Linked DNA regions of Stegostoma tigrinum. The main gene of each other region encodes a partner of the protein of the gene in region 3 in a complex. Links are inferred from orthologs where the notes say so. Each region holds a gene or a part of one and is shown on either strand. Other genes may lie near its edges.

Region 1 (9,626 bases), on a different chromosome or scaffold from region 3:
TTTGACATGGAGGTGTCAGTGTTGGTCTGGTGCGGACAAGCTCAGAAGTCAACGGCAGCAGGTTATTGTCAACAGGTTTATTTGAAATCACAAACTTTTGGAGCACTATTTCTTTGTCAGGTGAAATAAAAAGAGAAGCTCACAGGCACAGAATTTACGGGCAGAGAGATCAAAATATCATACAAATGGTGTGAGTGGAGTGTCAGTGGTCTGAATAACATCTCTGCAGGTGATCAAAAGTATCAGATGGCATTACTGAAGTGTCACAAGGTAAGGGATGACTTATACTTCCCCAGAGCAGAGAAACCTGCCACTGTCTTCGTCACTGATGATGAACATCTTACCAAGATCATCCCTACACGTCAACCTCTCCCCTTCAAACTACTGCCAAACCATAAACATTCACAGCAATCTAGCCTTCAGGCCAACACAGACCACACCCCTGCCACAGCAACCGCTGCAAGGCATGCGAGATCAAGGATACTCGTGTCACACGTGATAACAACACCCACCACATTCATGGCAGATGCTCGTGTGACGCTGCCAATGTTATCTACCTCATATACTGCAGGCAAGGAGACCCTGACGCATGGTATATTGGCAAGAACATGCAGACAGTATGACAACAGATGAATGAACACTGCGTAACAATCACCAAACAGGAACATTCCATCCCAGTTGGGGAACTCTTCAGCAGTCAAAAGATATTCAGGTAAGCATCCTCCAGGGTAGCCTTCGCGATATATAACAATATAGAATCACAGTGCAAAAACCAATAGCCAAATTCCGTACTCATGAAGACTGCCTCAACTGTGATCTTGGGTTCATGCTGCCTTACATGTAACCCCACCATCCTATTCTGTATTTGTAATATCATCACCTTGATAACAAGTTATGATCTCTCTATTGTTTGTACAGTTTTGGACTACTTGTTAATTTGGTTAGACCCTTGGCATATGACTCTTCTACCGATCATGTTATTCCAGCCATTTGGAAAGTCTCCAGCATCAACTCATTTTAAACTTATCTAATTATCTCTCTGCCTCAATAAAAGGGATTATCAGTCATCCCTTCACTTGCTGTTCAATTGTTGACACTATACTCACATTGTCTGACACTTTTGATCACCTGTAGAGACATACTATTGAGCTTCTCAACACACCACTCACACCATTTGTATGATCTTTTGATTTCTCTGCCTATAAATTCTGTGCCTGTGTGCTTCTCATCATTTCACCTTACAAAGGAGTCGTGCTCCAAAAAGTTGTGATTTCAATTAAACCAGTTGGACAATAACCTGCTGCCATGTGACTTCTGACCTTGTCCACCCCAGTCCAACAGACACCTCCATGTCAAACTTAACTTTTTCCAGTTTGGATGGCCAAGAGGCTTCTTTCCAGCCCTGTTAGCCCAAACATCTTTCAGTTCTGACTGTGTGAAAACTCATACATGAATTCTTACAGGTTGGAACCTTCGCATGTGAAAATTCTTCTAAGACAGAATTCGTTTCCTGAACTAAAGCCAGATTCTGAACAGAACTCAAAACAACAAGCCCTACCTAAACGCCCTTTAGAAAAAAAAGACTCCACTTTGTAAACACTTTAATTAACTCTCAGGTATCTAGTTAGGCACTTAGTTACATGCGTTCTTGAAAATTACATCTTCGTGTCTTTTCCAATGACTTTCGGACGTCTATTTAAGAAACATTTTAACCAAAACCAAAATCACATCAGCCTCAATTTTAAAAATTCATAAACAGTAATATATTGTACACCTGTATCACAGTAAGTAACAGTACAACTGCGATCCAAAATCATAAGTCAGGGAGAGAAACACAGAACATAGGAGCAGGAGGTGACCATTTGGCCCCTTGAGCCTGCTCTGCCATTTTTCACAATCATGGCTGTTCGTCCAACTCAACAGCCTAATTCTGCTTTCTCCCCGTAACACTTGATCCCATTTGCCCCAAGTGCTATCTCTCGTTGCTTCTTGAATACGTTCAGTGTTTTGGCATCAACTATTTTAATTCCACAGGCTCACCGCTCTTTGAGTGAAGAACTGTCTCCTCATCTCTGTCCTAAATGGTCTATCCTGAATCCTCAGATGGTGACCCCAGTTCTGGACAAATCCGTCATTGGGAACATCTACCATGTCCTCACCTCGTTCGTCTGAATTCCAGCAAAAACAATCCCAACCTAGTCAATCTTTCCTCATACATCAGACACACCATTCTTGGAATCAACCTGGTAAACCTTCGCTGCACTCCCTCGAGTGTAAAAGCATCCTTCCTCAAAAGGAGACCAAAACTGCACACAATATTCTGAGTGTGGCTTCACCAAGACCTGAATAACTGCAACAACACACCTGTTCCTGTACTGAAAAATCTCTTGCAATGAAGGCCAACATACCATTCAAACATTATTGATCCTAACTGGTCAGAATTGGCCTAAACTAGGGTCTCTATCGTTTGATGCATCCCTCATTCTCTTCACCCCCACCAGTGGTCGCTGTGCCTTAAACACCTGACCTCACCTCTCCACCCACAGACTCATGGAATTCCATCTCTAAGCCCTGCTACATCTTTTGAAAACAACAGTCATTAACCAAGGTTTAGTTTACTTGGGTATGGTAGCCATTTTGTCATCCACCTACATGAAAAACCCTGAATGTTTAAGACATGATAATAATTAATCAGAACAACTTGCACTTAAAGTATTTAGATAGGGTATGTTATTTTAAAATTGTTTATAGAATCAAGATTCAGCAACAACTTTATTCTGAAAGCATCCAATTACATTTGAAACTATAATGCATATTAAAAAAATACCAGATACATTGGCCTCAATTAGGTAGTCAGCAGCACTTCAGGCCACTTTACCTCAAGTTGCACTACCCATCCCACTCCAAATATGCAGCAAATCTTTGGTATGGTTGTTGCTTTTCCTGACAACGATTTAAAAATAGGATATCTTCATCTACAGTATCAGAGATGTAAGCAAGCATGTAAGCAACCAAAGGGATTGAGTATTCCCATGCAAATACAATCTCCAATGCTTTTAAATTTTCAAATATTGAGATGACTGACTGTTTATACAGCAAACCTTTTAGTTAGGTGGCACCCATAGGACTAGGCAAGTGTCGGGTGATAAAATATTCTGGATAATCATGACATGCACACAACTGCAGTAAATTCTGGCCAAGCAAAGGTTCCAGTATCAATATCCCTCAAAAAAGCCTACCAAAACATCACCACACCTCCTAAAATCCATGTAAAAATGCATGCTAAGTCAGAGAAATGTGAAGATGGGGACGTTTACATCACTGGTATAATTTATTTACAGCATAAATACTCATATCACAGTAGATCTCAGTACAGTATTTGTGAATTTTGCCAGTTAAAACAAAGTTGTATTTATTTGTACTCATTTTAACTGTTAGCCGGAAGAAAAAATATAAATGAAATAGCTATTACTTAAATTTTTGTCTAGAATGTCAATTTTTTTATTTCTCAGGAGCAATGAGAGAGTTTGAGTAGCCATAGGGTATAACATTTTTGTGGGTTTTTGACAGTAAGATGCACAATGCAAAACTGGAAATGTTCGTTAGTTCAAGTAATTCCCATTATTGTGTAGTGAGGAGGAGGAGGGGTGTTTCAACAACACGGCCTTTAGAAAAGAATCTCAGAAACTTTTGGGATTTCCATAGTTCAGTGGAATGAAGGCAACGGCGACTAATAGCTTCATTATCAGCACTGTCCCACAATCCAGCCAATAATACTGTAAACATTTGCAGCATTTCTCCACTTAGCATAAAATAAAATGATGTCGTGTTTGGAAATAAGTAGCTAGTACAGAGGCACAGTTTCAGTGAAATGAGACCTATGAAGCAAAAAAAAATTAACAAACGGCATGCCAAATCTTTCCTTCCATGTTGGGTGCAAAATAAATCTGTGGCAACTTATGGAAAAGCTACGTAAATGTTCTAAAGCTATTAGAGTTTGGGCACAAAGAAATTGCTGTGTATTTATACTTCATCTTTCAAACGTCCTCAGAACATTCCAAAGTGCTTCACAGCCAGTAAATTAGTTTAAATTGTTAGTCACTTATATAAAAATGCTACCTACTTTAAATTACTACAAATTACTCACCAGCATTAAGCAATTTTCTCATGCGCAAGTAGCTGATAGTTAGCCTCATGATAGACGCTTTATCGAGATGAGAAGTGACACTGTGAGGAAGAGGGAGTTCACGAGCCAGTTCATAGAAGACCTCCGACTCTTTGCCCCTTCGGAATCTCGCAGCATCACGAGACTTCTCCTTTCTTCTCTCGGAACTACCACTGCTGGTATTCAAAGTAGAACTGTAAGAAGCCATGTCAGCTAACAAGAATGCAACAAATAGCTTCACGTGCACCTTAAATTCAATTCCAGAACAGGGAACATATGGCAAATACTGCCAATAATCACACAAGGCACAAAACAACCTCAAACCCTGCTTAGGAAGTAACAGGAAAAATACCAAACCTTAACATTTTGCAGAGGGCAAAAAAAAATACAGTGATGTGTTTAAATAAACTTCAGATTGGCTGCATTGCGTATTGCTTGACGACTCCACAAAGATAAATCTTCAAAACAGAGTAACATAAATGAGCTCCTAAGACTTGACCGTTTTGATGCAGCATCTTTAACAAGTAAAGTCTTAAACTTTAGAGATTGCCCATGAAACACTGTTAAGAATCTTAACTCCGAATAGTACTCTGAACTGAAATGGTTATTCAACTTTTGGAATATACAATCTAATACAATATGAAAGAAAAGATAAACAGACAGACAAATATTTGATTAAATACTTCATTTTTATTTTACTCGCAGAAGGCAAATACAGAAGAAAGCTGTTCGTGGTACCATACTGTTATTTATAACAGAACTTCAGTCATTGAAGTCAAAACTGTCAGATTCAGGGATTGGGATTAGCCTGAAAATCTATTGTCAATTGAACTATTGAATGTTTTCCTAATTTTTCCCATTTTACAACACTCATCTCTCAGATCAATAAGCAACTCCTTGTTAAGAAAAACCATTATTTGAAAATTTTCTATCTCCTACGGCAGTCAATGAAACAAAATCAAGTGATTAAAAGGTATGTAGTTACCCTCAGCAAAGTCCATCAATTATTGTGGCTCAGCAGTCAGCCAGTCCTTCCAGGTCAGTAAGACAGCTTCTTCCAAGTACGCCTTTGGGCTAGAGCCTATTGTTTTAGCTGAGAGAGAGAATGTAGACACTCAACCTATATCCATGTGGATACATTTCATCCTTGCCAATGGACCCAACCCATTAATTTGCCAAAATACTTATGACCTGTTTCAAAGGTACAAATACACACACTTCCCTAAGTTCACTGGAAAGACAGCGGGAGACAGAGCCTGAGCTGATTTCTGCCATCCCAAGTTCAGAGAGCCCAACCAATTAATCAACAATTGACCAGGCCGGTGATCTTCCTGTCTTTGCACTGCTCGTCAAAAAAATGAACTCAATTATGAATTTAAAAAAAGATGTAGTCATGTATTCTAATAGTTTAAATTCAGTAAGTAAACTTTGATTTTTATTTCAACTGAAAAAAGTGATCACATTAACAAATTTAGATTCCCCAGGGTTTAGCGCTACATAGTGCTAAAGGCCTCTTCTTAACCGAGATTTTACATTCAATTTCCAGTAGCCTAAATAAAGGCATGCCAAAATCCATGTGGTTCGAGGAGCCGGGGGTAAGACAAGGCTAAGGATATTGCTGTGACAATTGCAATCCTTAATACCCACACTCACCACTAGATGACACTGTAACAAAACCAAAACAATATTTCTTTTGTGAGATCAAACATACTGAAAAGCAGCTAAAATGAAAAGTTTTAAAAATATCAATCCCAAATGAAAACCTTTTTTGAAAAACCTCAATCATGTACTCGGTTTATGGTTATTATTGTGAAAAACAACTGCAACAATTATAGTGGTATTCGAAAAGCAGATCATCAATATTGCATACTGAGCCACCTGCCTAACTTGAACAGCTGGATACTTTCTGAATACCAGACTAACATTTCAATTATACAGTTAGATTGTAACATTATTACAATATTTGCACTATTCAATCTTAAAAGAAACAAAGGCAAAGTTGGAGCAACACAAAGGAGAGAGTGTAAGGAGAGCATTACATACAAAGTTTCAGATCTCAAATGTTAACATTGTTTTCCTCTCTTGAAATGCTGCAACACCAGAGTATCTTTAGGTTTCCTTTACTATTTTTCTTTCCGATCAAAGGTTTCCGGGTCACAAAACTGAGTTACTTTGAAAATAATCCATAGCTTATTTAACGTGTACCAGTAACATTTTTTTAAAGCAATGAAGTAACATCAAATAAAATTCTCCTGTAGAATAATCTATATTTGCTGCAGATTCTTAAGAACAGAATTAAACAAATGCGCTCTTTCAGCCTGTTCCATAATTTAATGAGATCACAGATGACCTGCAGCACATCTCCATTCCCTGCCTTTGCCCAATACCCCTCATTATCTTTGGCTAACAAAATTGGCAACCTTAATCCATGTAATCTAGCATGAATTTTCATACAAGTTGCAAACTTCTACTACCTTGCATAGAAGTTGACTTCACTGACTTAACACAACTTTTAGATTGCACTCTCTCAAGTCCCAGGCTCCCTAACTGGTAGGGCAATCTGTATTAAACAACCTACCTTGAAAGCTGTGCTTACACTGCACAACTTCTTTTAAAAGAACAATGTGGATTGATTTAGAAATTGCCCAATGTCCCGAAGTTTACAAAACGCCCAAAAAATATCTGTGATCTGAACCTGCATCTTTGCCAAAAAACTCATCTAAGTGAGTTGGTGGCAAAGTGCTAATGTCACTGGAGCTTATTATTATTTGGATTACTATTCCAATCTAATGATCTGGGAACTCACGTTCAAAATCTTACTGTGGCAGATGGTGAAATTTGAGCTCAATAAACCTGGAATTAAAAATAGCTGTGTTAAATGGTGACCATAACAAAGTGTGGGGCTGGATGAACACAGCAGGCCAAGCAGCATCTGAGGAGCACAAAAGCTGACGTTCCGGGCCAAGACCCTTCATCAGAAAAGGGGGATGGGGAGAGGATTCTGAAATAAATAGGGAGAGAGGGGGAGGCAGACCGAAGATGGAGAGAAAAGAAGATAAGTGGAGAGGAGAGTATGGGTGGGGAGGTAGGGAGGGGATAAGTCAATCCGGGGAGGACGGACAGGTCAAGGGAGCAGGATGAGGTTAGTAGGTAGAAAGTGGAGGTGTGGCTTGAGGTGGGAGGAGGGGATAGGTGAGAGGAAGAACAGGTTAGGCAGGCAGGGCTGGTTTTGGGATGCAGTGGGGGGAGGGGAGATTTTGAAGCTGGTGAAATCCACATTGATACCATTGGGCTGCAGGGTTTCCAAGAGGAACATAGAACATAGAACATTACAGCACAGTACGAGCCCTTTGGCCCTCGATGTTGTGCCGACCTGTCATACCGATCTCAAGCCCATCTAACCTACACTATTCCATGTACGTCCATATGCTTGTCCAACGACGACTTAAATGTACCTAAAGTTGGCGAATCTACTACCGTTGCAGGCAAAGCGTTCCATTTCCTTACTACTCTGAGTAAATAAACTACCTCTGACATCTGTCCCATATCTTTCACCCCTCAATTTAAAGCTATGCCCCCTCGTGCTCGCTGTCACCATCCTAGGAAAAAGGCTCTCCCTATCCACCCTATCTAACCCTCTGATTATTTTATATGTCTCAATTAAGTCACCTCTCAACCTTCTTCTAACGAAAACAGCCTCAAGTCCCTCAGCCTTTCCTCGTAAGACCTTCCCTCCGTACCAGGCAACATCCTAGTAAATCTCCCCTGCACCCTTTCCAAAGCTTCCACATCCTTCTTATAAGTGAGTTATGAGAATATGAGTTGCTGTTCCTGCAACCTACGAGTGGCATCATTATGGCACTGCAGGAGGCCCAGGATGGACATGTAGACTAAGGAATGGGAAGGGGAGTTGAAATGGTTCGCGACTGGGAGGTGCAGTTGTTTACTGTGAACTGAGTGTAGGTGTTCTACAAAGCGGATGACAAAATGGTGACCATGTTGATGGTTGTAAACACAAACTTCTTTTCAGAAGGATGTGTGTCATCTGGCTTACACATGACACCAGATCTACATCAATGCTATTTTTTCCAAGCTAAATTGAGTCAAGTTGCAAGGCACTCTGTTCCAGGGCTATTAGACAGAGGCAATAAAAACAGTCCTAGCTATGGATGCTCAAATCAACAAACAAAATTTAAAAATGTGTCTCCTTGGCCAGTGAACTCTCTCTCTCTACCAAATTTTGTTGAAATCTACCGCGGAGTTTTTGTGAAAAAAAAAAATGTCATTGGTGGACTTAACAGCATTCAAACTTTGCTACCACTCAGGTCAAAACAGGTGAGGTGTTTGACACCAGTTCGACCACCTGAAATATTTACTCTCCAGCACTGACAGCAGTGTGTACTACCTACAAGTTGCAGTTCAGCATCTTCTAAAGGCTACTTTGACAGCACTTTCCAAAACTGCAACTTTTATTCTGCAGTTGGTGAATGGACAAGGGTGAGACGGAGGAAGTAGCTCTTTCGTGTCGTTGTGGCTACTGATTCATATGGCTGATCCAGTTCAGTTTCTGATCAGTGGTAACCTGCAGGATGTTGAATGGCAAATTTGGCATTGGTAATGCCATTAAATATCATGGAGAGATGGCCAATATCTGACAGTCAGATGGGAAATAACATTCCTGCCTCACATCAGCCCAAGCCTGGATATATTTAAAGGGTAGTGAAAACTGTTGGTCCAGTTCTCAAAATTTGTGTGTTCAAATTGACACAGAAAGCGACATTTTTTCTTACATGATCTTTTGCTCATTACTTTAATCGATCTATTCATTTCCAAATTTATACTTCTAGTATAAATGTCCATCGTCCTGCTCGTAGCTCCAGGTGCTTATCGGATTTACTTTAGACAGCTAAGAATGTATCTTCTACCACAAACGTAGGCAGTGCACCTGAAGTTCCCAACCACCCGCTGCACAAAAACACTTTCATGTTGCAGTTGGGTCTTTTGTCAAACACCTCACGTTGAGATCTCTGGCTCTTGACCCTTTTGCCAATGGAAACCACTTTAAGTGATAATTTTGAATGATACTAACAAATATGCTTTCAAACATCATGAAAAAGAACAGCTTCTTCAACCAGTCTAACTGAAGATATGTGCATAGTATTCGTTAATACTCTGGCTCCACAAGCAGGTTTCCTTTCTGGTCTCTTTACAGTTTATAGGCTTCTAGAAGCTTTAGATATCCCTTAATATTAGGTACTAGTCTCTGTTCATACCTTTTTTGCGTCACTGATGACTTCTCCTCTGTATGTTTGATATTTAGAGCAAACTGCTTGACACAAAATTGATAGGTGACCTGTACAGTAAGACATGGATCTCTTAAAGATTACTTTATATTAAGGGATTAATGGATCAAAATTTTTTAAGTTCAGGCTTGATGTCAGGGGAAGGTAAATCTTGTTAA
Region 2 (9,806 bases), on a different chromosome or scaffold from region 3:
AGGTGTACGCGCTCCAACTTGGCACCTTTACATGGGATAGGCAAAATAAACACCATTCTAGTCACCCCACAGTCCACTGAACCCCACCGGGTCAGTGGGAGTTGGGGGGTGTGGGGGAGTTTGGGGACGTCAGAATGGACCTGTAGTGTCTTTACTTTCAAGACTGGAAACATAATGAAGCTGGACTTTAAACCCATTTTTTGGCTGTTGTCAAGTGTGCAGGAGTCAGCAAAGGGCGTTCTGTAGAAAGTGTTACAAAGGAAACAACCTGCAGATTGCATATATTCATTACTCAAATCGATTTTTAAAGTCAGAATCATGGTCAGAAAGCGCCCCAAAAGCGTTCCTGCTGCTAGCTAACTTTGTTCTGGATTCCTACATGTAAAAAAGCAGGACGTGGTATTTCTGTAGTTATTTTGAACAGAAAGTAAACACAAATTAGGTTTAAATCTCTCAAGGGGATGCTTCGTATTGAACGCCGGCATTGAGGCCCGTTTGCTCTGAGACACATTAGCCAGTCTTCGTTATCAATTAGAGAGACTGAATGAGTTGGATAAGGGTTTGAGAGGCTCCCTACACAAGCGCCGATTCAGGGAGCGAACCCACGCCGCGGTCATCACTCTTTGTCACACTCGGAACCATCGGAGCTAAGCGGCCCCAACACATTCACTTACAATCGTCCTATCACTCATGTCGGCGTTATAACGTGTTGTAACTTGCACTGAACCAGCCGTCTTTAAAGGTAACTGCGGAGTTCGGTCTTCCCGGCATAAAACAGAACAAAACATAAACCACCTGCTGTCCAAGCCACTGAAAGCATTAGCCCTCATCGAACAGAAAAGGATAACAAACTAAAAAGTCACAGTCCCTGCTCAGTGTGAGAAAGTTTCGTTTGCTCTCTCTCTCCCTCTTCTGTGAACGCCAAAACTAGTCCTGACCTGTTAAAAAAAAATCCGCCACGACTCGAAATCAGTTTTATTGAAGCGTTTACAAATAATGTTGGAAGCGGGACTGTCCAGTCTCTGAGAACATATGAATTTCGTCAGGAATGCGCAGAGGACACAAGTCAGTCTTTACAGCCTTTCAATTCATAACGCAAAATCTAACAGCAACTGTCAAATAAATAAAAGCCTATTGGCTAAACAAAAGTTGCCTTGTACATATGACTATAACTCAGTAAACATCAACAGCACACCAGCGTTATCAGAAATGTGTTGACATATTGCGCTCCTCATGGTTTATCTATTTGGAATAGATTGGCACGACCCAAACCCCAGCAACACAGCTCCCCAATATTTAGAGGCTTTCCAACCCAGATTACGGATAGCGAAGCTTCTTCAAATGCATACGTTTGTCAGGTAATTTCTCATTATGATTGTTCCAATTTCCGTTTTAAATTGTATCCTCAAAACGTTGTGATATGCTTAGTAAATGGGGTATAGTCAACACATTATAAGACGAGGATCATTCGATATAGGAGCAGAATTAGGCCAGTCTGCCAAGTGAGTCTGGTTCACCATTCGATCACGGCAGATATGTTTCTGGTTCCCATTCTCCTGTCTTCCTTCCTTGATCCCTTTACTATCTATGGCTGTCATAAATACACTCAATGACTCAGCACCACAACCTTTGGTGACAATGAGTTCCACAAATTCACCACCCTCTCGTCTGAAGAAATTCCTACTCATCTCAGTTCTAAAAGGTTTTCTCTTTAGGCCTATCCCCTGCGGTTGTGCTCTCGGTTTCTACTCTCTTCTACTCCTGAAAATATCTTCTCCACGTTCATTCTATGCAGGCCTCTCAATATTCTGTAAATTTCAATAAGCGATCCCCCCTCCAAGTTCCCACCCACCCCACCCCCATCCTTTTAAACTCCATGATGTAAAGACCCAGAAACATCAACTGCTCCTCATAAGACAAGACCTTCATCCCCAGGAATGATTCTTGTAAATCTCATCTCGACCCCCTCAACCACCAGCACATCCTTCATTAGGTATGGGGAGTAAAACTGCTCACAATATTCCAAACGCAGTCTGACCAGAGCCTTGCACAGCTTCAATAGTACATCTTTACTCTTGTATTCTAACCCACTTCAATGGTAACATTGCATTTGCCTTCCTAACTACCAACTGGGCTTGCATGGACTGGGTTAAGGTCAACTGCCATCACAAACAGTGAATCTCATTCCTGATTCCGCCCTCACGACGAAGTAGTAATTCTGGACAGGCAAACTCCTTAATTAAGAGTACCATATTCGACATTCTGCTTACGTCTAACTTCAACTGGCATTTAATCTGTTTCTGATTCTAACCCAGCCTCAGGACAGACCCTGCCTTTCACCCACACACTGACGGTAAAGCTGCTGTTGAAATCGCTCAAGTATTAACAGTAGCTAGCCGCACCTTGACAATGTGAGTCCTTTCTACCTCAGGGACGCCATTTCACTCAGCAAAACTACCCAGAGCCACCAACTCCAACAAATTGTCCCAACGTCACTCCTTAGGTGCAACCAGCAGCTCTCTCCAAATGCCCAGGACACGAGCGGGGGTTGGGGAGAGGGGGTGTTGGATGCAATCTATGCATCCTTTGTTTTGCATGTCTGTGTTTTTGCTTTTATCCAATGTTGAACCTTCAGCAGATGTGGGCTGTACAGAGGCTTGTCTGATGCTTCTGTCGTTCAGGGCGCGTTGTCACACTCAATTCCAGCCGACCTCTAGTCATTTGGAGATGAATGCAATAGCCATTTGCAGGCTGACTAGTTTCTGAGGGTATTATTCTCCTTGCAAATAACAACACACCGTTATATTATAAAAGTCCTGCTGTAAAATTCCGTGTTCTGTCGAAATGCAAAGGTTCTCTCGAAAGAGAGGAAGGAGGGGAAATGTCGGTTTTTTTTTAGTGCAGCCGCAAATGTACCATAGTAGTCGGGAGCAAAAGCTTCATAACCTCGATAAAGTTGCTGTTCGGTACGAGTTCTCCATCGGGGAGATGACATGCCCGACCACAGAGTTGCCCCCTCTAGTCTGTCGGCCAGGCCTCGCCTGCCTGTTGATGATACACTGCGCAGCAGTGGCAATGTAAACAGGTGAAGGAGAACATTGATCGATCAATAGGTCACTATTTAAACAGCGCAGGCCCACTCGCTCAGTTTGAGCCAACTTTTCCCTTCTGGGTTTTGCCCTTGGGGAAGGCTTTGAGGGACGTATTGCCAACATTGCTGGCCCTCAGAGCCAGGTCTGTCTACAGGCAGGTAGCAGCTGATAGCCTCCGAGAGACAGGCAAGCTGTCAACACTTCAGAACGCAGCCCGAGCGCCCCAATCAAAAACAAGGAGAACGGTTAATTATTGATCATTTCGTCTATTCCCGTCTCCTGTCAGCTTACGCCGAATGTCGGAGGTGTGGAGTCCAGTCCCTCAAGAACTTTTTAATGATATGGACAAAATCAGCCCGCACCTTATCAGAAATAAATTATTGCTAACTTCATCAGAACAAATGCAATGTCATTTCTTACCTTTTCTTCTCCTTCTCTGCTGTCATGGTTTGGACGATTAAGTTCACAGAAGCAAAAGAAAAACAGACCGAGAAGCGCTGTTGACAACCGGAGGCTCAATTTTACAGTGTAATACGGATAGAAAGAAGCATAATTTGATTTTTTTTGTTTCCACTTTCTCTGCCTTGCTCACGAAGCTTTTTTTTCTTTGCTTTGTCAGTCTCTCTCGCTTATCTCTTCATGTGGGTTTCTTTTTTTTTAAATGCCTAGTTGGGTCAAACAGTTGAGATCATGAAGCAACCCGGAAACGAGAGGCGACCGTACAGTCTCAGAACACTGCTGAGGATTGTACAGCCACTTCGAGGCAAAGACCAATTATAAAGAGGACAGGCAGGAGAAAAAGTTTCGCTGTTAGACTCTCGTACTGGGGCGGGAGGTTCAAGCTTCGGCTGAAGGCGGGGTTTCTCTCTCTCTCTCGTCCTTCTTGGGCCAGATGACAGGTCGTAAATGGATTTTCGACATGCGATAGGTTGCGGCCGGGCCCCGCCCCGCCCATCGATCTGGGTCATTTTGGGGCTTTTTTCCCCACTCTCTCTGCCGGAACAGTTGGGAGCGGACGGGGTAGGAGCACCCATCCTTGTTACATAATTTTTTTTGTTCACAAGTTCTTATCTGTTAAAAGATTTCCTTGGAAAGAAATACTAGTGACGAAATTGCCTGACTACACGTAAACTAGACAAGGGAATAAAAAAATTGCCAAACAACATGGTCCTCGGATGGATTCCAGTTGCTTCTTCATCTCATGAGGATCTCACTCAATTGATAACGTTTTCTAAACACACTAGTTAAGAGAACTCCCTAGATATTTCCCATCGGTGCTCCTTAAAAAATATCACCAGCGCAGAATCAGTATTTAAATACTATATAATTGAAGATTGGTTACAGCACAGCAGAGAGCCATTCGGCCCGTGGGTTCCGTGCTAGACCTCTGTCAAACCTACTACAACAGCTCCACTTTCTTCCTGCCCCCGCTCCTCCCCACTGCCCCTGCATTGCTTCCGTCTCCTCAGCTGCTTATCTAATTCCCCAACGAAATCTGTCCTCATCACATTTCTCGACGTGCATTCCAGGTCCTCACCAATTGGCGAATTAAAAATTATTGCCCTCACGTCACTTTGGACCTTATTGTCATTTGTCTTAAATCAGTATCCTCTTTCTTTATCCTTTCTGGCCAGTAATTTCTAATCACTTATGATCTTCAGCATTTCTATCAAATGTGCTCTCAACCTTTTGTCCAAGGAGATCAACCCAACTTCTCCAACCACATAACTGAAAGACTTTATTCCCAGCACAATAAGTATGAAAACGGTGGCGTTGGAATTGATAAACAAAACATACCTAGTAGTCTTCAAACTAAACATACTTCGGTTTTCATTTCAGCAAAATTCAACCTGGTTTATTCTACTGCTCTGAATATTTCCTACACCAGAGAGAGGCTTATCAAATATTTGAAACAAAAACAGAAGTTGCTGGAAAAGCTCAGCTGGTCTGGCAGCACCTGTGAAGAGAAAATCGGCGTTAATATTTCGGGTCCGAGTTTGGGCAAGGGTCATCGGACCCGAAACGTTAACCCTGATTTTATCTGCACAGATGCTGCGAGATCTGCTGAGATTTTCCAGCAACCTCTGTTCTTGTTTCTGATTTACAGCATCTGTATTTCTTTCGGTTTTTACTTCCCAAAACTTTGCTCTGAGATCCGTTTGAAATATTTTTAGAAAGTATTCTGCGTTGGAATTGTTTTCCACTCAGGTTCAAAGCACTTGCAGTCCGAGACCGATTTACAAAGGTCCACTGTCGCTTGGCAATTTTTCGTGAGGAAAGACTATCCATTGGATACAGATTCGCTGGTGGCGTCAGTCTCATCTGTGACCAGCAAATTCTCCCACACAGATGCAAATGAATGTGTAGTCACTGTTGGGGACAATTGGATCTATTCTTTATCTCTTTCCTGGTAATTCTACGCTCAGTTCCAAAGGTGGCTGTAGCATTCCTGATGAAGCAAGTCTAGGCATCACAATCTATGACCCACTCCACCCACTAGCAATAGTCAGTGTGATAAATAGATTGTGACTTCCCCACGCAGTACTAGAAATGGTTGTAAGTGGGCCCTTCTGTTCCTGCTACAATGGATAGCTTTCTGTACAACCTAATTTTATGCCATCAATTGTTGTCCATCCAGGCAACATGACCAATGCAAAGTTGGTTTTGCAGAAGGATAGCCTCAATTCTGGTGATGCTGGCTGTCTCCAGGATTTCAGTGTTTCTGATACAGTCCTGCTAATGGATCTGAGGATATCATGAAGGCAACACTGTTCGAAGTGCTCTGGAAGATGTACATGTTGGCTGTTTAGGACACTTGAGCCAGTGCCTCATGGAGGATAGTGAGGACTGCAGATTGGCACATTTTGAGTTTGGCCTGTTCTGTAAGGTTTTGGGTTCTCCCCAGATAGCTACTAAAGTGCTTCAGAACAAAGGGCATTAAGTGTAACAGTTAAAGATGTACTGAGTCTCCCTGAAAGGGTATGTAAAAATATTTGAATGAGGATCTGTATTGTAACTGTTGAATGATCTGCTGTAATATTGAAGTTCTGGGAAAAAATGTTCCAGTAAACAGTTAAGAGCTGGGAAATCCCTTCATATATCATGGGAATTTTAATAATATAAATCTTGATTTATCATCTATTAATAGCTTCTAGGACAAAGTTATGGCTGCAGTTATACTGCTATTTTTAGATGAGCGACTGAGAATTATTTCCCAAGTTGCAGTAAGGTGAAGATTTAGTTCAATTATAGGATTCCTCAATATGGATAGTGGAAAGAAAACTAGTGTCAGGAATTAAAGGATTCCCAGAAAATGTTTCATAGAGTTTAGGTGTGGAGAAGAACATTAAAGGAATTAACTATACCACCATGAAGTTAGGCCTTTAAAAGCATTGACTGCAAGGTTACAATTGCTTCCTGCATGTTGAGGAAAAGTTTAATTCTTCATTTAAATGCATGTATTTGTGAATAACGTTCACATATTCATGGCCTAAATACATTCAGGTATTGGGAAACACTTGTATTCCTTGGATCATCAGACCTCGCTGTAGCATGTGTCTCAGGGTAACAAGCTGAAGCAAGCCAAGGACTCAATCATTTCTCAGACGCAGAGACCAGAGTTTAGTGCTGAAAACAAGTCAGGTTTATTCACTTAGCTAACTAGGTGTAGAGCTGCATGAACACAGCTGGCAAAGCAGCATCAGAGGAGCAGGAAAGCTGGTGTTTCAGGTCGAGACCCTTCTTCAGAAATGGGGGAGGGGAAGGGGATTCTGAAATAAACAGGGAGAGAGGGGGTGGCGGATAGAAGATGGATAAAGGAGAGGATAGGTGTAGAGGAGACAGACAGGTCAAAGAGGTGGGGTTGGAGCCAGTAAAGGTGAATGTAGGTGGGGAGTTAGGGAGGGGATATGTTGGTCCAGAGAGGACAGACAGGTCAAGGAGGTGCGATGAGGTTACTGGGTAGGAGATGGGGGTGGAGATTGACGTGGAAGGACAGGTTAGGGAGGCAGGAATGAGCTGGTGATAATGGCAACTGCAGATGCTGGAGAATCTAAGATAATAAAATGTGAGGCTGGATGAACACAGCAGGCCCAGCAGCATCTCAGGAGCACAAAAGCTGACGTTTCGGGCCTAGACCCTTCATCAGAGAGGGGGATGGGGTGAGGATTCTGGAATAAATAGGAAGAGAGGGGGAGGCGGACCGAAGATGGAGAGAAAAGAAGATAGGTGGAGAGGAGATTATAGGTGGGGAGGTAGGGAGGGGATAGGTCAGTCCAGGGAAGACAGACAGGTCAAGGAGTTGGGATGAGGTTAGTAGGTAGGAGATGGAGGTGCGGCTTGGGGTGGGAGGAAGGGATGGGTGAGAGGAAGAACAGGTTAGGGAGGCAGCGACAGGTTGGACTGGTTTTGGGATGCAGTGGGTGGAGGGGAAGAGCTGGGCTGGTTGTGTGGTGCAGTGGGGGGAGGGGATGAACTGGGCTGGTTTAGGGATGCGGTGGGGGAAGGGGAGATTTTGAAGCTGGGCTTGTTTTGGGATGCGGTCGGGGGAGGGGAGATTTTGAAGCTTGTGAAGTCCACATTGATGCCCTTGGGCTGTAGGGCAGTCAAGCGAAAAATGAGATGCTGTTCCTGCAGCTTTCGGGTGGCATTGTTGTGGCACTGCAGGAGGCCCAGAATGGACATGTCATCCAAGGAGTGGGAGGGGGAGTTGAAATGGTTCGTGACTGGGAAATGCAGTTGTTTTTTGCAAACTGAGCATAGGTGTTCTGCAAAGCAGTCCCCAAGCCGTCACTTGGTTTCTCCAATGTAGAAGAGGCCACAACAGGAACAGCGGATATAGTATGCCACATTAGCAAATGTGCAGGTGAACATCTGTTTGATGTGGAAGGTCTACTTAGGGCCTGGGTTGGGGCTGAGAGTGGAGGGGTAGGGGCAGGTGTAGCACTTCCTGTGGTTGCAGGGGAATGTGCCGGGTGTGGTGGGGCTGCAGGGGAGTGTGGAGTGGACAAGGGAGTCCCGGAGAGAGTGGTCCCTCCAGAAAGCAGATAAAGGTGGGGAGGGAAAATTGTCTTGTGGTGGGGTCAGATTGCAGATGACGGCAGTGTCGAAGGATGATGCATTGGATTCGAAGGTTGTTGGGGTGGTACATGAGACATTTTTCCCTCCCCACCCTTATCTGTTTTCCGGAGGGACCACTCCCTCCATGACTCCCTTGTCCGCTCCATACTCCCCTCCAGCCCCAACACCCCCAACACTTTTCCCTGTAACCGCAGGAAGTGCTACACCTGCCCCTACACCTCCCCTCTCACCCCCATCCCAGGCCCTAAAAAGACCTTTCACTTCAAACAGATGCTCACCCGCCTGTCTGCTAATGTGGTATACTGCATACATTGTTCCCGTCGTGACCTCTTCTACATTGGGGAAACCAAGCAGGTGCTTGGGAACTGCTTTGCGGAACATCTATGCTCGGTTCACAACAAGCAACTCCATGTCGCAGTCATGAACCATTTCAACTCCCCTTCCCACTCCTTGGATGACATGTCCATTCTGGGCCTCCTGCATTGCCACAATGATGCCACCCGAAAGCTGCAAGAGCAGCATCTCAAATTTCGCTTGGGAGCCGTGCAGCCCAAGGGTATCAATGTGGACTTCACAAGCTTCAAAACCTCCCCTCCCCCGACCACATCCCAAAACCAGGCCAGCTCTTTCCTGCCTCCCTAACCATTCCTCCCACCTCAAGCCCCACCCCCATGTCCTACCAATTAATCTCATCCCGTCTCCTTGACTGTTCATCCTTCCTGGACTGACCAATCCCTTCCCTGACTGCCCAACTACATTCACCTTCACTGGCTTCAACCCCACCTCTTTGACCTGTCTGTCTCCTCTCCACCTATCTTCTCCTTTATCCGTCTTCTATCTGCCTTCCCCTCTCTCCCTATTTATTTCTGAATTCCCTTCCCCTTCCCCATTTCTGCGGAAGGGTCTCGACCCAAAACATCAGCTTTCCTGCTCCTTTGATGCAGCTTGGCCTGCTGTGTTCACCCAGCTCTACACCTTGTTATCACCGATTCTCCAGCATCTGCAGTCTCTGTAACAGGTTTATTCAATTGTTGAGCTGTGCTTTTAAATACGGCAATGCAAGGTACAGGAACATTTCATTTTTAATTAATTCTCGGCAGATGAGTATAGCTGGCAAGATCAGGCTGTATTGTCCATTCTTAATTGCCCTTGAAGTGGCTGGTAGTGGGCTGGTTTCTTGAATCATTACAATCCATTTAGTAGGTGAATCCAAGTTAATGTTTCAGGTCCAGTGATCCTTTGAGACTTCTGAGCAATGGTCACCAGACCCAAATCTTTAACTCTGTTGTTTTCCTTCATAGATGCTGAGCTTTCCCAACAACTTTGCTTTTGTTCCTGATTTACAGCATCCACAGTTCTTTTGGCTGTTTTTAGTAGGTGAATCCATTGTTCTGTACGGAAGGCAGTGGCAGAATGTTGACCCAGTGACGGTGAAGGAACTATATCATCAGCAGAGTCTTCCCAGACCCTGAAAGGTGTGGGCTGTGATGGGAAACTTGGAAGAATTGCACGAGAAGCCAAACAAGGCCTTTCTCAAGATAACAAAGTGTGAAGCTGGATGAACACAGCAGGCCAAGCAGCATCTCAGGAGCAGAAAAGTTGACGTTTCGGGCCTAGGCCTTTCTCAATATCAGT
Region 3 (10,491 bases):
GGAACTAAACTCTAAATAAGAACACATTTAAAACAATGTCTAGTAATATAACATTGCTGTAATTTGACCAGAATTTTAGAATGTACAATGCCATTGGAATAGTGTCACAGTTTGTTAAATTTCTTCAAATGGTTACTCAAAACTCTCCATTAAACTCTTTTCAAGAACAAATTCTTCAATCACCCTCAAAGGCCCTTTCCAACTGTACCTTTCCAAGCAAATGCAGCAGATGCAACACCTGTTCTTTCTTCAGGTCTAAGGCCTCAAAACAATTCCAGGCTAAACAGCAATTTACTTGCTTTCATTTGCTAGCTTGGATTACTTTCCCTTATTTTCTCTCAAAAGGTAGCTGATCATGATCTGCCATTCACACCTCTCCAACTACATTTTTTATTTGTTTACTTATTCGAATACTAAAACTTCTTTGGCTTTGCATAATGACACTATTATTTAATCTCTCCTGTCCTCCACTTAAAATACATTTCAGTACAGAAGTGACAGAGTCATAACAGAGTCAAATTGTTGTCTGTTTCTCTCTCCCCAGAAGCTGCCAGAGCTGGAGTTGCATTTTTTTTTAAATTTCATATTTCCAGCATCCACTGCATTTTGCTTTTATTTACAGCAAGTCAGTAAACAGTTGAGTACCTGAATATTGTACAAACTTAGCCAAGTTAAAATGTGTTTCCAATTCTGCACCATGTGTTAACATTAGCAGATGTCAACTATCCATCCGTAAGAGTTTACAAGCTGGTTGAAATGAAGAATATAACATTTATTCTCTTATCTCAGCACTACATTCAGTGTACAATGGAATGCACAAAAGAATCTACATGACCAGGTCAACGCATGGTGGACAACTGAATTATTTATGCTTATCAACTACCACAGATACTGCAAAAGTACATTTTGTACTGAACGGCTTTACTGAATATAACTCAGAGTTCTTTGAAAAAAGATATTAACAACTGATTATAAAAATATTAAAAACCAAATAATTTCTACATAAATTGCACATACTTTTTGGATAAGGCATTCTGTAGATTAGCACTGTAGGTTTAAGCCAGAAAGTATACACTTTTTTGTGCACGACAGATATTGTTTTTTCAGTCAATCCCTAAGTAAGGAACACTATCTACAATGCCAGTCACAAGTGTTCATTCTCAGGATACCAAACTGTGGAAACAAGTGTTCCAATAAGATTCAAGCACATTTAGACATTTTACAACATTGCTAGGTATCATTCCTCTTAACAATCCTCACGCTTCCAACTGGTTTGTTTCTCGAGCTAAAGTGGCACTCTTTCTATCTCTCTGCAACTCCCACAGAATTATGAATCATTTAAAAAGAATGAGGCTTGAAGCATTATTTTTCAACCTAATATCACCTGACCTCTTCATCCCATAGATGGAGGCCGAGAAAGATGACGATAACCACTGAACTAAGCAAAAATCAGAGTTGGAGAAGAACATTTACATCAGAACAACAAGGGAATGAAGGGATCAAAATGCAATGCTGTCACAAAATGGAGCCATTGCGACAAAGGCTGAGCAAAGCCTGTGCAGTATTAGAATCAGTTTTGGATTAATTGAAGCTTATGGAAGATGGAGAATGTGAAGTCTTCCAAAGGAGTAATTATTTTTCTTAAGTCATTTAATTGTATTCTTGGCTAAGCCAGCATTTACTGGCCATCCCTAGTTGCCCAAAGGGCAGTTGTGAGTCAACTACATTGCAGTGGGTCAAAGTTACATGTAGGTCAGACAATGAGGGCAGTTTCCTTCCCAAAAAGGGCAGTGAACCAGATAGGTTTTTCCAACAATAGATAACAGTTACACAATCCTCATTAGACTCAATTTCAGCTTTAGTTTAATTCAAATCCCTTCAAAATGTCATGGCAGGATTCAAACAGGTCCCCAGAACGTTTCCTGGCTCCCTGGTTTAATAGCCAAACATTAACACCACTGAGCCATTGTCTCTCCAAAACTGAGTTGTAGAAGATAATAACTAACAGTGATGAAATCCATTTGAAAAAGAATTAGAAGTTCTGTTGTACAACCAACTTCTAAAGTATTTGTGCAATGATTCCTGAATTTAAGCATACCTCACACTTGAAGGGGTGTTGTAACAATGACAGAGGCTGGCACATAAAAACAAACATCTTGCATAGATTATACCAAGAATGGCTAGTTCCATGGTTCTTAAATTTTAAGATTGGCTCCAAAGCATCAAATACGTAAATTAGTTAATAAATTGTTACAGTGAGATATAGATCAGTAGCAGATATAGCAGGGAAAATTGGCAGATGGAGTTTAATTCAGGTAAGTGTGAGGTGCTGCATTTTGGGAGATCATATATTTAGGAAACAGCAGAACCCTGGAACAGCATAGATGTACAGAGGGATCTTGGGGTTCATATCCATAGCTCTCTGAAAGTGGCCACAAGACCACTCCAACCTCAGGGGGAGTTGTAGGTTAGGTGGGCTTCAGATCGGTATGACAGGTCAGCACAACATCGAGGGCCGAAGGGCCTGTACTGTGCTGTAATGTTCTATAATTGTGAAGGGACAATGTGTGAATGAATTTCAAAAGTAGATGGAAGAGGCAGAAATTAAACTGAGCAATGTGAAAGTGGTGCAAGTTGGCATTCAAACAATGGAGAGGATGAGGTCAGAGATTCACCTCAGGGTGCCAGGTGGCATTGATGTCAACAACTGAATGTCAGATTGCAACCAGGGTAGAAGATTACAACTTATGTTCTACAACCAACTCCTATAATATGCGGGCAGCAAACTCTGAATTTAAATATACTTTACACTGGGAGGTCGAGTTGTACAAATCAAAGTTCCTAAAGGAGGTAAGCGTTTAAGAAAACTAACACCTGTATATCGCGAATACAAAATATCAAGAATGGCTAGCCTCACGGTAGAAACATTAATTTGGCTAAACTGCAGAAACGCCATATGTCAAGGGCATTCGTAATTAATTAATAAATTATTTTTAAAAGAAAAAGTGAAAGACAGGGAAAAAATGAATGGCGACAGTATTGGCGATATTACTGCGGGATACAAGAGTCATGCTACAAGTTTCATTGAATATAAAGGATAAAATTAGACCATAAACCCGAACTTTGGCGTACTCACTTTCGTCCTGCCGTTAATATTATAACTGCCGAGTTTCCCGTTGCAGTGCCTGATCAGATCGTCCATGCTGTTCATTAAGAGCCCAATCTGCGTACAACCGGACTCCTTCCCATCCATCCAGGTGATCTGGTCACCCCGGATGTCTCTCGATGAGTCCCCTCTCTGATTGACCACCTGGCCATCGGTGAACCGGCCGCTCCGGCGCAGTTCCTTTACCTCCCTCAGCACACTGTCGCCCATCTCCTCTCCCAGGAAGTTGTCCACCACGCAGATGCCGTGCTTGCTCATACATGGCACGATGTACTCCTGCACCAGTTTCTGGGAGCTGCCGCCGCTCAATCCGTGCTGGCCCCGGTGACTCCGGCTACTGATGCCAGCCCCGGGTACCAGATGGGAAGCCGTTGTCGCCTCTTCATTCTTCTCCGCCGGCTGTCCGTTGACCGAAGCTGGTGACAGGGGCTTCGGCAGCGGCGGATGGTGGTTACTGTTCGCCGAAGCATTTCGCGTGTCGTCGCCCTGTCGTCTCGCCGCCTCTTTACAGACCTGCTTGTGTTTTTTCCAGTCCATTTTCTGGTGCTCTTTGCTGCAGTAGAACGATCTTTTGCAGCCCCCGCAGAGCAATAATTTCTCCATTTTGCCGCATAGGCCACAGCTCTGATCCTGCTCTACGGTCGGCGGCAGTGGCGGAGATTCATGCGTCGGACTACTCTCGCTAGCCATGTCCGGGACGGGGAAGGGGGTGGGGTGGGGGGAAAAGGAGAAGTAGGGGGGTAAACCTAGGTAAATTCAATAGCAATGGATGGAGGGAGAGGAAGGGGGGGGGGAATTAAGACGAGGATCGAAAAGGGATGATGGAAAGAAGAGCAAATGTCCTCCAACAGTAATGAAACTGACTTTCTTCCCTCCGCCCCCCCCCACCTTGCCCGCGCTTGCGCGTGCACGACGAACCACCTCCGCCCGCGAGCAGGATTCAAATGCTAACCGCTGAGGTCTCGCGCACTCTTCGCGTTAGCGAGATTTCCAGCAGGTGGGCGTATGCGTGAAAGGTATCGAATTTGATTTCTCCCCCTCCCGTCTCCTGCTCCTGTTTTAGTGTCTAATGCTTGCACCAGAAACTCTTTGCGGGCTTTCTCACACTGATCCATCATCAGCTGAAACATGTCCATCTTATGTTACGTCCTCACTTTCAATTCCTCCCTCTTTCTATGTCTTGCTCGGTTCGCCTCCAGTATAGGACAGGCGGAGCCACTGGTTTTCGTCACTTCGTTAAATACCCCAAATCGAAACCTTGCATTCCACTTCGACATGCACTGCCGCGGCAGCTGGATCGCAATCACCGCAGTACCCTGGCTGCTTGTTTATTCAGTGGACATCGTTTTATCCTGATCTCGCCGGCTCCTTCCATTTTTTTTGGAAATCCGAGTTCCGGCGGTGCATCTTGTTCACTCTCTTCTAGCACCCCTTTATATTCGTCCGGTACGATATCTGTGTGTGCGATTTCTGTTTCTTGTTCAGTTGTCATCCCTTAAAGTCAGTGTTGCCGTTAGTGGGAAATGCTGGAAAGAGCCAATCCGTCAGGCAACGTTCTGCGGATCAGCAAAACAGTTACAAGTTTCAGATCAGAGACATTCATCAGAACTTGACTAAAGGCCACCGATGAAACGTTACAATCCTGTTTAACCAGTCCTCCACTCTACCACAGAGCTTTGTTTCTGTTTTTTTAATAAACTGTTTTGAACATATACTGTAGTACCGTATAGAGGTTTATAAATGAGGAACAAATCACATGACAAAAATAAACAAGACTGGAAAAAGACAACACAAAATGATTCAAACTAATCCATTGTATTCTTATGTCAATCAAAAGTGACCCTGTAGTAATAAAAAACAGTCATATATTAAGTCTAATCTGTCATTTGTATCGTTGAAAACCTGAGATAATAGTTGCTGTGGGTTAAAACTGGCATAGAAAATGATGACAAAAAAGAGGAAAGATGCTGCCATTTATTGCTGGAAATCAAACCCAGGCCTCCCACATGGCAGGCCAGAATTATACCACTGAACCACCAATGCAACTTCTAAGGATGCCTACCCTGAAGAAGTTACCCTCCTCCCTCTGGAAAAACCTCAGTGGATGTCTCTCCCACTGAACCTCTCTCGTAATCTCTTTCTCCTAAAGATGCTGCCACACCTGATGAACTTTCCCCAGCAATTTCTTTCTGTTTGAGCTCGAAAATGATGAATGTGTGCTATGGCATATTTAGACCATAAATAAATAGGAACAGAAGTAGGCCAATGGGTCCCTTGAACCTGCTGTACCATTCAATAGGGTCACGGCTGAACCAACATTCCTGACGTCCACTTTCCTACCTTTATCCCATAACACTCGATTTCCTTACTGATCAAGAATCTATCTCAGCCTTAAATATACGTGAGGACTCTGGTCCCACATCTCTCTGTGGCAAGGAGTTCCAAAGACACAACCTTCTGAGAGTTCTGACTCAAAAAGTTAACTCTTGATTTTTCCTTCACAGATGCTGCCAGACCTGCTAAGATTTTCCAGCGACTTTTGAATTTGATTCTGAGGGAAGAAACCATTTCAGTCTTAAATGTGTCCCATTTATTTTCAAGATGGTGGTGGAGTACAGGGCTGAGCCTGGGACTCGTCTGTTACCATCTGCTTTCTTTCTCTTTTTGTTTTTTCTCTTGTTCCTTTTTCTTTTCTCTTCATGTTCTTTAAAGACTTGAGAGTGACGAAGGTGAAGAAAGAGGCCACCAGCAGCAATGCCAGGACGAGCCAGACATGGCTCCATCCCAGCCCGGGGTCACTCAGCAAGCAAAAAACAGGTCCTGGACTGACTGCCTTGGCCCAGAATCACAGGCTGAGCTAAGGTTTCAGGGCCGCAGCTAGGTCCAGGTCATGAAACGAGTGGAAGCATTGGCAAATGGACAGACAATGGCCACGCTGGAGGAGTAGTAAGTACAGAACCCATGCACCCCCAGGCCTGTGGCTCCAACTCAGATGCAGAGGTCATGGGAGTTGCAGTGGCAGAGGCCTGTAACTGAGACCCCGGAGACTGTTAGAGGGATCCTGGAGCCCATTTCAGAGACCTGGTAGATATCAAGCAGCAACTGGAGGAGCAGCAGAGGAAAAACAAGAACAAAAGAGAAAGATGAATTCTTTTGCTGTAAAATCTTATGTTATATTCAGCATTTCAAATTACACTGCACTTCTACAGTGATGACTTTGCATGTAGCACATGAAAAACACGCTCCACTGTATTTTCATATACGTGTGACAATAAATCTAAATCTAATCTTTAATCTGAGACTAAAAACCCTCTGGTCTTAGACTTTCCATGGTTGTGTATTTTTTACCTATCACCAAATCACCGTGACTTTATTTTTAACCTCTAACCACTACCAGTAAATCACACGTGGCCAATTAAATATTTACAGGAAATGTAAACTATCAGAAGGTTAGAGAGAGTGGGAAGGATTGGAGGTGGAAAGAATGTACTCTACATCTAGTGGTGCCCACCTCTCTAAAAGCATTAAGAGTATTGGTGGACACCACATGCTCCCTCTCCAAGGACACCCGGACACAAATGTAGCTACATGAGAGGAGCAGGCAGTCAGCAGAAAATCCCTTCTGCAATCCACTATCTGGACCCGTTAATAGCTAGCTAGGCCAGGTCCAGGAGTGGGTCCATGACAAGGTCCTCTGACTTGCCCACATCCCTCCATACCAGATGCCTAAAGATCAGGGGCATGGAGTTGATGTGCAACCAATAACATAACAAAAGATTTTTCAAATAAATAAAAGGGAATGCAAATGCCCACAACTAATATATATATATGATTCATATATACCACAGCATGGCAAATAAACAGGCTGAAAGTCCATGAATTTCCGCAATCTGTAGTTGCATGGGACTGTTTGCCTGCAACATCCTCCACTCCAGGACCCCAATGGAACAGGAGAGGGCACTGACATAAGGAGCTCTCCACTCGGGATCTAAGACATGTCCAGGCAGAGGACAAAGGAGTCAAAGTGAATGGTGTGCTGCAGCAGGCTGTACAAAAAAGCAACTCTACATGAGACAAAAGTACATGGAACGCATTCCCAAAAGTCACCTCAGGTTGAGAGGTACAGACTCCTGAGAGATGGTTAGGACCCTGGGGCTAATGTGAAATGTGACTGAGCTGAGGTGCGCGTAGACAGGATTCCACCATACACCGGAACATCTTCTAACTACTGCATGCTGTCGGGTCCAAGCACCACCACTTTCAGGCGACAGGGGCCACTGCCCTGTGTGCCACCTGTCAAGGCTCTTAAAAATCCTACCTGTTTCAATGAGATCATGTCTCATTCATATAAATTCCATTGAGTAGAGCTCCCAGTTTAACATTTGACCATAAGACAATCCTTCCGTACCAGAGAGCATCCTAGTAAACCTTCTCTGAATTGCCGACAATGAGATGACATTTTTCCATAAATATGGAGACCAAAACGTCTCACAGTACCCCAGATATAGTCTTATCAGCATGTTGTAAGGTTTCAGAAAGTCTTCCCTATTCCAATAATCCAAGCCCCTTGAAATAAAGGCCAACATTCCATTAGCCTTACTGATTATCCACTACACCTGTATGCTATCTTTCTGTGTTTCATGCACAAGTACCCTTAAGTCCCTTTGTGGCCAGAGCAAAAGGCTAAAGATAGTACCAGTAGCCCTCCTAAATAAATTACTTATATTTGCCTGCGTGGAGTCATAGAGCTGTGAAACTTCAGTCCAACCCATCCATGCTGACCAGATATCCGAAGTTAATATAATCCCATTTGCCAGCATTTGGCCCATATCTCTCCAAACCCCTACCTATTCATATAGCCATCCAGAGGCTATGTTGTAATTGAACCAGCCTCCACCACTTCCTCTGGCAATTCATTCCATACGCACACCACCCTCTGTATGAAAAATTTGCCAATTAGGTCCTTTTTAAATCTTTCCTCTCACCTTAAACCTATGCCTTCTAGTTTTGGACACTGCTATCCCAGGGAAAAGACAATGGCTATTCACCCTATCTATGCCCATCATGATTTTAAAAACTTCTATAAGGTCACCCCTCAGCCTCAATTTTCCAGCCTTTTGGGCTCTCCATACAGCTCAAACCCTTCAACCCTGGCAACATTTTTGTAAATATTTTCTGAGCCCTTTCAAGTTTCACAATATCCTTCCTGTAACAGGGAGACCAGAATTAATGTAGAAATCCAAAAGTGGCCTAACCAATGCAGATGTCAAAACATAAGCCACTTAGCTGCTCTTCTGCTGTGAGCTCCCCATGCAGGTTTCTCCAATGTCAGCTGTGAATTTCACTGTTTGTTTATTTTTCTTCAAACAAACTCCAAAGTCTAGAGGTCTTGTTACAAAACAGCAAAAGCAGTCAGCTATTCAGATTTAATGCTGGGTCACACAGCTGTGCAGGTTTACTGCTCATTATGACATATCCCATGTGGTATCTGCTCTCTCTCTCTCTTCCTCCTTTTATAAAGTGCTGTTGTTTTGATCTCTTTTTCCCAAAGTTCCAAAACAATGCAACAGCTTATAACACAGTAATTACTGCTCTAAACATTTAGGGAAATCAGCTTCAACACTGAAAATAGCTCAAGAAAGGAGCAGCTTGTACAGTCACTTTTTTTTCAATCCTTCATCTTGGATTACCTATGTCACAAAGTTGCATAAAGTACTCATGAAATAGAACACAAAAATTTAGAATTTGTTTGTAAAAATGACCGGAAGAAATGGTGCATGGTTCTCTTAAGAGATAAAATGCTTTTCTAAGCTTAGAGATTTACACAGAAATAAAAGTCTGTAAGTAGCTGAAGATGTACAGACATTTCTGAAGTTGAATCATATCAATTGGCACTGTGTTTGGAAACCTTCAGCTTGTTTTGATGTTCTGGCAACTAGCTTGAAACAGCCAATTAATTTAAACTAAGCACTGAGCAATTGAAAACCTATTAAATTTAAATCTGATGGTTTTGACAACCTTGGGCCAATGCCATTGTATGAATATTGATGTGTCATCCAAGATATATGAGAAGAGGGTTTTCAAATTCAGGTGAGAGAAGACTATCATCTGAGAAATAAACAGAAAACTCTCACAGAAATCTCTAAGCTCTTTGTAAAAGAAAATGCCATTTATCCAAAAAAACTAGCATGGCACTTCTAGCTAAAAGTCCTCTTGGAACGATTCACAGACAAAACATCTCTGACAGCAGGATCAGTGGAAGAAAGGCATTTATGACTTGAGAACAGCAGAAGACAGGCATTCATGACTGGAGAGATGGTGGAGAAGGCAGAGCATTCCAGAAGACATAGTCTGTGCGGACTTTGAGAGACTAAGTTGCTTTAATTACATGGGTTATATAGGTGGGACTTGTGTTATTGGAATAGTATACCAGTAGAATTTTGTTCAGTGGGGGAAGAGCTAGGAGTTAGGTGAAATTGTTCGGTTTGTTAGTAGTTCTGTTGATTTGTTAACTGTTAGGGTTAGAAAATAAATTGTTACTGGTTACTTATGAAATGAATATCAGGGATTTTCTTTCATTTAACTTCTCTTTCTCTGTAACACCTAGAATTCTTTGCTTGCATGCTTTCCTTTTCTCATGCAAAGATTACTAGCCAAAGAAAACCAAAAAGAGAGAGGGGGAAAAAGAGAGAGAGAAAAGAGGGAAAAAGAAAGTGAGGGGGAAAGGAAGAAAGGAGAAGAATGTTTGAGTTGGAAAAGATAAAACTGGAACTAGAAGCAAAAAGATTTCTAATGGCAGAAGGAAAAGTACAAGATAGAAGTGAGGATGAACAAACTTATCGTAGCCAACAGTCTGGAAGGGATATATGTAAACATGCCCAATGATTACCAATGTTTGATGAAAATGATGTAGAAGCTTTTTTTATTTCCTTTTAGAAATTGGCCAGGCAGATAAATAGGTCAGCGACTGTGTGTATAATGTTAATTCAGACCAAGTTGGTAGGCAGGGCTAGTGAAGTGTTTGCAGCACTGCCAGAGGACGTGTCAGGAGGCTATGAAGGAGTCAAAAAGGGCTATTTTGAGTGCCTACGAATTAGTACCAGAAGTATATAGACAACACTTCGGAAATATAAGAAAGGAAACAGGTCAAACTTATGTCGAGCTTGAAAGAATTACATGTAGCAATTTTGATAGATGTGTGAGAGCATTAAAAGATAGAAAAGATACTTTAGGGTCTTAGAGAAGTTGTTCTGCTGGAGGAATTTAAAAAACTCACTTCCAGAAATGATAAGAACTCATGTTGAGGAACAGAAAGTTCAAACTGA

What was found.
Region 1: the proteins of egln1a (region 3) and hif1aa are in contact, whole or in part, in a crystal structure (PDB 3HQR), measured with the Homo sapiens proteins. The link is inferred for Stegostoma tigrinum from reciprocal best matches to the Homo sapiens genes EGLN1 and HIF1A. Residues at the interface, in NP_071334.1 of Homo sapiens: Gln239, Leu240, Val241, Ser242, Gln243, Lys244, Ile251, Arg252, Trp258, Lys262, Asp277, Ile280, Arg281, Ile292, Asn293, Gly294, Arg295, Thr296, Lys297, Tyr310, Val311, Arg312, His313, Val314, Asp315, Pro317, Asn318, Asp320, Arg322, Arg370; in NP_001521.1 of Homo sapiens: Leu559, Glu560, Met561, Leu562, Ala563, Pro564, Tyr565, Ile566, Pro567, Met568, Asp570, Asp571, Phe572, Gln573, Leu574.
Region 2: the proteins of egln1a (region 3) and epas1b are in contact, whole or in part, in a crystal structure (PDB 7Q5X), measured with the Homo sapiens proteins. The link is inferred for Stegostoma tigrinum from reciprocal best matches to the Homo sapiens genes EGLN1 and EPAS1. Residues at the interface, in NP_071334.1 of Homo sapiens: Gln239, Leu240, Val241, Ser242, Lys244, Ile251, Arg252, Trp258, Asp277, Ile280, Arg281, Ile292, Asn293, Gly294, Arg295, Thr296, Lys297, Tyr310, Val311, Arg312, His313, Val314, Asp315, Pro317, Asn318, Asp320, Arg322, Arg370, Trp389, Tyr390; in NP_001421.2 of Homo sapiens: Asp525, Leu526, Glu527, Thr528, Leu529, Ala530, Pro531, Tyr532, Ile533, Pro534, Met535, Asp536, Gly537, Glu538, Asp539, Phe540, Gln541, Leu542.

What each region holds. Positions count from the first base shown.
Region 1 is NC_081363.1:29,392,705-29,402,330, forward strand, and holds the start of hif1aa (hypoxia inducible factor 1 subunit alpha a), read right to left. Parts: upstream 4,374-9,626; coding exon 4,148-4,373; intron 1-4,147.
Region 2 is NC_081362.1:68,838,188-68,847,993, forward strand, and holds the start of epas1b (endothelial PAS domain-containing protein 1b), read right to left. Parts: upstream 3,924-9,806; 5' UTR 3,539-3,923; coding exon 3,513-3,538; intron 1-3,512.
Region 3 is NC_081357.1:97,148,242-97,158,732, forward strand, and holds the start of egln1a (prolyl hydroxylase EGLN3), read right to left. Parts: upstream 4,337-10,491; 5' UTR 3,857-4,336; coding exon 3,137-3,856; intron 1-3,136. UniProt on the Homo sapiens protein: Cellular oxygen sensor that catalyzes, under normoxic conditions, the post-translational formation of 4-hydroxyproline in hypoxia-inducible factor (HIF) alpha proteins.